2 linked regions of the Nothobranchius furzeri genome follow. The protein of the gene in region 1 purifies or fractionates together with the protein of each later gene. This does not show direct contact. Links are inferred from orthologs where the notes say so. Each region holds a gene or a part of one and is shown in the gene's direction. Other genes may lie near its edges.

What was found. Proteins that work in one complex are often made in the same cells at the same time.
Region 2: the proteins of wrap73 (region 1) and cep135 purify together in Homo sapiens (co-immunoprecipitation; 6 studies listed by BioGRID and IntAct, counting the BioPlex papers as one, with this or other methods). This does not show direct contact. The link is inferred for Nothobranchius furzeri from reciprocal best matches to the Homo sapiens genes WRAP73 and CEP135.

Annotation. Positions count from the first base shown.
Region 1 is NC_091755.1:32,176,129-32,179,461, reverse strand, and holds part of wrap73 (WD repeat-containing protein WRAP73), read left to right. Parts: intron 1-749; coding exon 750-822; intron 823-1,706; coding exon 1,707-1,810; intron 1,811-3,333.
Region 2 is NC_091748.1:40,510,509-40,514,763, forward strand, and holds the start of cep135 (centrosomal protein of 135 kDa), read left to right. Parts: upstream 1-1,338; 5' UTR 1,339-1,585; intron 1,586-1,786; 5' UTR 1,787-1,812; coding exon 1,813-1,925; intron 1,926-2,008; coding exon 2,009-2,199; intron 2,200-2,287; coding exon 2,288-2,455; intron 2,456-2,523; coding exon 2,524-2,665; intron 2,666-2,763; coding exon 2,764-2,848; intron 2,849-2,915; coding exon 2,916-3,044; intron 3,045-3,137; coding exon 3,138-3,353; intron 3,354-3,454; coding exon 3,455-3,520; intron 3,521-3,604; coding exon 3,605-3,755; intron 3,756-3,845; coding exon 3,846-4,060; intron 4,061-4,255. Other genes in the region: exoc1 (exocyst complex component 1), read left to right, coding at 1-63, 131-330, 421-615, 829-981. UniProt on the Homo sapiens protein: Centrosomal microtubule-binding protein involved in centriole biogenesis. Acts as a scaffolding protein during early centriole biogenesis.

The DNA of each region.
Region 1 (3,333 bases):
GATCGTTTAGGAGAATGTGTATTATGTCCGTGAGGTCCTGCTTTCTCCAACAACTAGGTGAAATTAAACATGGCAAATGAAAGTTCAGGTCAGTGAAGGCTATGAAGAACCTAGAGCAACAAAAGACTGCTGACATCACCACATATGTTTGCATATGCTTACATCGTAAGCTCTGCTTTTAATATTTTACATTTTAGATCTACTACTTAATGTTTGTCAGTGCACACCTCTAGTTGAGCAACAAAGCTCCAACACAGTTTTATAATTGTAAATCATGCTGTTCGTTTATTTTTTTAAATGTACTCATCCGTAAGAAATGTCACCAACTCTACATCAGTTTAGGTACGACCTCAGACGCTTGTGAACGACATTTGTACGCAAGTGGATGTCTAACTTAATTAATGCTGAACAGCGCTCAATTCAAATTACACGGGGCTCTACAGGATGGGAGACGGGCTTAGCAAAAAATAAATCGACGTATTGCCTAGATTTGAAACGCAGTGCAGGGTAAGACACACACATTTCTACAAAAGTCATGTAGTTCCTGAAAGGGAGAAAACTCCAGACTGCATCAGTGTTTTTTATTTCTACTCAACACAACAGCCCATCTACAAACACTTTAAGTGCAGGCCGGTCCATGTTGGGTTTGCTGATAGACACATGATGATGTGTAGAAAGTTTAATTCTATTTACTGTGAATTATTCGTGTCTTTGGTTAACATTTTTTCTTTCCTCTGTTGCCGTGACAGCTGAGGGTTACCGTCTGGTCCCTGTGCACTAAAGCGGTGTCTTACATGAAGTATCCCAAAGCGTGTCAGAAGGGTGAGTATGAGGATGGTATTATGATTATAAAGAGCATGTACCACCAGAGTACCTGAGGACAGGGTCAGCTGAGCGCCTTGGCGTGCCTCATTAATCACAAACGGCTCTTTACCTTGCGGCACAGCCCAGAATATGTGTCCAGACTCTGGTCCCCTCTGCTGACAGCTGTGTCCCTCTCCAGTAAATGGGGCATGCTCTTCATAACAGACCTGTCAGCAACTAGTGGAAATATGATTGTCCCAGACTCTCCTCATTTTCCACGTGTAATACGATGCCCCTCTGCAATGCGTTTATCTCCAGGACTGTCATATAAACGATTTGGCCATGATGGCTGCATGCCGCAGACTTTATGGTGCCAAAGAATCAGATAATTACATGGGATGGAACGCATAGGAGAGTGTGATTTAATGTGTTTTACCAGCGTAGACAGAGGCTGTTTGCCACTTAATGCACAGAGATGTTAACATTAGTATATGTAAGGATTCTACTGTGGAAAATCCACATTTGAGTATTAATTAAATCAGTAAACGGAAGCATAAATCACTAAAGTTACCTAGAAGCAGCTGTTATGCCGACACAAGAGGGTCAGATTATCTTCTTTAAAAATCAGAACGTTTCTAAGAGTTTGCTGTAACTCATCATGACACAATATTAAACTAGAACCAGTAAAGTAAATCTGTTACCCTATGGATAATTTCAGCTTGTGACTCGTGGGTTTCTGCAAGGGTGTGACGGCAGCTGGAAACAATAGTTGTCGTTTAAAATTATTATTTAGAATAAGTAAAATGCTTTAAAGTCGTAATTACCTGCAGGAGCCAGTGGTCGAAACAATGGAAAATATCAACCTTGTTGCTGCTTTTTCTAATTGCGTCTTCTTCACACAGGTATAGACTTCAGTAAAGATGGAGGCTACATGGCCTTGGCTGAACGCCGTGACTGCAAAGACTACGTTAGTATATTTGTGTGCGAAGACTGGCATTTACTCAGGGTAGGTCTTTAAAACGTTTATAATGTAGTTTATTGTTGTAATGAAAAAGAAAACAATCACCTGTGCTTTCATGCCTGGTGTCAAGGATCAGATACTTACGGGGTAATTGGCAATTTTTGATTGAGACCCTGTTTGTCTTCAGTAAGTCAAGCATTTAGGACCGTTTTAGAGTTGTTTTGGTTTAGTATTGGACATTATTCTTTAAATCATTCACAACCATTGACGAGAAAAGTCGTCATATTAAATCCAGCCGTTCAATGCCAATGATGACTAAATTCGTCTTTGGCATTTTTTTTACTGTGTGGGCGTGAGAACGAGCCCCCGCTCCGTGAGAACAAACATCTCAGCTCTAAAGCCGATCTTCATCCACGTACGTCACGTGATCAGGAAACAGAAAATCATGTGTTAGGAGATCATTTTGGGCCACTGCTGTAAAAAAAGTGAGGCGCGAACCGGAAAAGCTTCTGCCGATCACAATTCGACAACGGATTATTACACAACAGATAACGCTAGAAACGCAGGTGAGTCTCCGCTTTGTTTTGGTAGTTTTGGCGTTGACATCATCATAAAGTGCTACGTTCTGTGACTCTTAAACAGTAAAAACGGTGAAAAACGCTGGCAGCGAAGGGCTTTTCTGGCAGTGAATGAGTTAATGTAGAAAGTCCAACCAGTAGTTAATCTGCTATTGGGTCAGGTTCTTCTGGAAGTTTCTCTCTGTTAAAGGGGAGTTTTCCTCTCCACTGTCACTACATGCTTGCTTAGTTTGGGGATTGCTGTCGAGTCACTGACAAAACAAGTCAGTGACTCGATGCAATCTGTTGGGTTTCCTTAGGTAGGAAACTAATGACTAATGGGAATAATGAACTGCAATGCACAAGTTAGCCTGGCAAGCTAGACTATATATGTGGATATATAGACAGAGCTCTGTCGTGGGGCCGAACCTATGGATGTCTATCAAACTGTCTCCTTATGCTCTTGGACAACGAACAACATGACATCCTCTCTGCTACGGATGTGTCAACGAGGCAGTACGCCATACACGGATGAAGAACAGGGTAGCTGCAGGTCCTTAAAAAGTCTTAAATTTGCTTTTCCAAATGTAAGGCCTTAAAAATCCTTAAAAATGACAAATAATCCTTAAATAGTTTCCAAAGGTCTTAAATTACCAAAGACCCAATAAACAAGATTCTTTTATTTCTATAAAATGTTCATGAATTTCTAGTTAGTTCAGTATTTTTTGTGTACGATATTGGGGTAAGCGGAACCGTACACATTCAGTTGGTTGTGAAAGGGGGCTATTTTTAGATGAGCATGCTAGTGGGAGTTTGCGCCATGGGGAAGTGCAACATTAATGGTAACTGGATGGCTAATCCCACATTTACGACGTGGTTAGCACCGGTTCCAGGCAATAGCTGGAAATTATAGCTTAAATTTAATTTAAAAATAGCTTAAATTTGGTGAAAGTGGCCTTAAATGAGGTCTTAAAAAGTCTTAAATTTGGCTCCCTTAAACCTGCAGATACC
Region 2 (4,255 bases), on another chromosome or scaffold:
CAGAGCGCAGAGGTGACCTAGACAAAGCTTACGTAAAGCTCATCAGGGCTGTGTTCACGAATGGTGAGATAACCCATCATCATGTGATGTTGTCTGGAAACAAATGAGGGAATTCAGGTTGTCTTTTCAGTGGAGAAGGTAGCCAATGAAAGCCAGAAGACACCGCGGGACGTCGTTATGATGGAGAACTTCCACCACATCTTTTCCACGTTGTCTCGTCTGAAGATTTCCTGCCTGGACGCGGAGAGGCGAGAAGCCAAACACAAATACACGGACCACCTGCAGTCGTATGTAATCAACTCTCTGGGCCAGCCACTGGAGAAGCTTAATGTAAGGAGATTCGTCTTTTTGTTGTGCCACGTAAAGAATGATGTAGTTCATTTTAACAAATTTTTAAGCATATTGTAAATTTTCTTTCAGCATTTCTTTGAAGGTGTTGAGGCCCGCGTAGCCCAGGGGGTCCGTGAGGAGGAGGTCAGCTACCAGCTGGCCTTCAACAAGCAAGAGCTACGCAAAGTCATCAAAGAATACCCTGGCAAAGAAGTGAAAAAGGGGCTCGACAACCTTTACAGGAAGGTGGACAAACATCTGTGTGAGGAAGAAAGTTTACTACAGGTAAGGAGTTCATGAAATCACTCACTTCCCTGCTGACTAAAACAGCATATGCCGTGTTTTGGATGCTGGTATGCTAGTCCAGCATGGGATGTAGTTAACTGGATTTTGGACCAGCATCCAAAACTCATGCAGATTTTTCAGCAGGGTTTAACACCGATATTGCCTTCTTAATGCTGTTTTCCAACTGTTGCACTTTCTTCTGAACTCCACCAGGTGGTGTGGCACTCCACGCAGGATGAGTTCATCAGGCAGTACAAGCACTTTGAGGGTTTGATAGGCAGGTGTTATCCTGGATCTGGAATCACCATGGAGTTCACCATCCAGGACATGTTGGAGTACTTCTCCAGCATCGCTCAGTCTCACTAGTTTAGTTGCCGCTCACTGTTTCTGTCACAAGTCACACCTGCTTCCCGACTGAAGGTTTATTAAATGTAATATAACACCTTTTGGATTGTGAACATTTCATATGTGCCTGTGTTGTTTTTAAAGGGAATTTCAACACTACATGTGTGCTTCTTTTGAGCTCCTCCCTACATCTTTTGTCGTTTTTCTCTTTATGTCAATTGTACATAATAAATTTGCAGTTGAAGCATCAACTAACAGATGATTATTGTACCTCATTTGTTGAAAGAAAAAAAAATACTTGAGATAAAAATCTGTGCTTAACTCCACCCCTCGATTTTCCCACGGGCGACGCCAGTTGACATAACAAGCTAGCCAAATTGCTCTCGTCCTCCATGGTGACGAATACAAACCCCGAAACTTTGTCGGCGCTCTTTTCAAACCAGCTTACCGCGGAAACATGTTAACTCACCCGTTTATAAACACATAACGGGATTCACAAAGTAGTGTTATAGTGTGGCTGAGCCAGGACATTTGTCCAAGTGAAGATACGTTTCTGTATGATGTAGCGTTACGGTGATAAATATTTAGCTAGCATTAGCCGCCGCGAACGGGGTTTTTAAGCACGGTAAGTTAGCTCATTAACTATTTCAATGACAATTGGTAGGTACAGTAATGATAACAAAACAGCCAGTTAACTATGCTAGTATCAATGTGTTGTTTTATTTGTGTATGTTAGTAACGCTAAAGTATGTTAGCAAACACTGCTATCTTTAGTACGCCTTTGTTACCTTATAAATGCATATTTAAAGCACCTTTGTTAATTTAGGAGTTGGCAATCTCAACATCACCATCATGAACAGTAGCGCAGAGAGGAAATACGTAAACTTGCGGAAACGTCTGGATCAGCTGGGCTACAGACAACCTCTGGGGATAGACTCACTGCCACTGGTGGAGAAGCTGTTCAGGTGAACCCAGCTTTCTGTTCTCTTACCTTTTATTCCCTTTATTAGTGTCAGTAACGTAAGATGCGATTCTTCCTCTGCTGCAGTGATTTGATCCACACAACAGAGAGCCTGCGCAATGCCAAACTATCAGCAGGAAAGACCGAGAAGGAGAGCCGAAACGTCGATGCTCTGCTGGAGCCCTACAGGACCGAGAACGCCAGGGTGGTCCGGGAGAACAACGAGCTGCACCTGGAGCTTCTGAAACTAAGGGAGGAGAAAGATCAGATCACTAGAGGTTAAGAAACACCCCCTCCTCCCCATTCTTACCTGCAGGTTCTAATGACTGGTGTGTTAACCCACACCCAGCCATCGTGTCTTGGCAGAGCTCAAAACTCGCATCAGAAAACTGGACCATGAGACATCGGACCTGAAGTTCTTGAACAACCAGTACGTGCATAAGGTTCGCTGCCTGGAGAAGGACAGCAAGGCTAAAGCTGAGCGCATTCAGCAGCTGCAGGAGAAGAACTTGCACGCTGTTGTGCAGACTCCAGGTACAACTCTTGACCAGGGTGTGATCATTGATGGAAATTCTTCTACTCACCTGTTTCTTTGTGACTAGGTGGGAAGAAGCGGAGTATTCCTTTTAGACGACAGAGAATGCACACTGATGAGCTCATACCTCCCACCTCTACATCTACCTATCCTGTCCAGCAGCCAGATGATCCATACATTGCTGACCTACTACATCTGGCTGATGGAAGGTGTGTTTCGTTGAAGTTGCTTCATAATGCATGTGTGGGTATTTATAAACCTTCACATTTCCGTTATCGTCTGGACTCACAGTTAATTTGATTTGTAGAATTAATGAGCTACAGGAGGAAATCATCAAGCTCAAACTAGACCTGGAAAAGTCCCAAGAATGTGTTAAACATATAAACACTCGGGTGAGGACGGCAAAATCAGGCGTGTGGTGAGGCTTCTTTAAGGTCTAACAAGCTGTCTCTTGAGTAGGTGGAGGAACGGGACAAAGAGATTGAGCGTCTGAATCATGTACTCCACGGGGGACGCCCTTATGATGTCATTTCTCTTGAAGCTCAGAACGTCAGCAATGAGAAACTGATCGCCCATCTTAACCTTCAGGCATGCACCACTGTCACTGGAGATAAACATATTCACATAGGTGCGTCTGTCAGGGAGTGCTGGTGCTTCCTAACTGTAATCTGTGTCTTCTAGATTGAGTACTTACAGGAAACCAACAGAACTCTGGAACATAAAATGGAGGGATTGCATCAGAAAAAGAAGGACGCCTCCACCGAAGTGGCTAGTCTGTCGTTAAAGAACCTGGAGCTCTGCGAAGAGCTGACTCAGATCGATCACCTCGCTAAGCGCATGGAGATGGACAAGGAGCGGATGCTGGAAACTGCAGACATGGAGCTCCAGGAAACTAAAGTAAGAAAATAAAGTCAATGGTAAATAAACTAGATGCATTTCAGGTAAAGATCATGTTTTTAAATGCCATAAAATACACTAAAGCATCTGTTTGGTTGCAGAAAGAAATTGGAAGGCAGCAGAAAATCACTGAAGAGTTGGAGGATATTATCACGAAGGCTAGAAAGGTAAAACACAACTTTTTTATCTTAATTGTTTCTATAGTTCAATAAATTTAAATTTAACCCGTCCAGTGACATGTTTGAGTTCAGGAACAGTCTGAAGGAGAATTTGAAAGAGATCGTCTCAGAAATCAGCTGGTGGAGCTTAAGGAACAAAACCAGAAGCTGGAGGGACTTCTGAACTTCCTGGAAGAGGAGAACACCAGGCTGCAGGACAAAGTGGAGAAGATGATGGCCGACGGTTAGCAATATTCTGGGATACCTCGGTTATTAATACTCAGATTTCATCGTCTTCAAATTGAACTTGTGTTTGTTGATGCTTGTGTTCCAGACAAAGAGCTGGTTCTGGAGTTGGAGACGATGCGTGCTGAACATGGTGTCTGTAGAAGAACGCACTCCCCATCGCGTCTAGATGCTTTTGTCAAGAGTCTTGAGGAGGAGAGGAATTACTATCGCCAAGAAGCTGAGCGCTACAAAAGAGTCCGAGGACTGAGTCCAAGTTGCAGTCCAGACAGGGGCAGGAGTCCAAAGTCCAAAAAGATCAATGTAGGTGATGGAAAAAATAAATGTGGTCGCTTTTTTGTTTCAGTGAAAATAACTTTTATTAAAATTATGCCAACAGGTTTTTTAACCCTCCCACTGTCTTCATGGGTGACCCCCCCCCCCCCCCCAAAGAAAGTTGACCACTGAGCAGGATTGATGGTTTATCCCTTGAGGTCCACGTGGCAGGGGTGAGGTGGG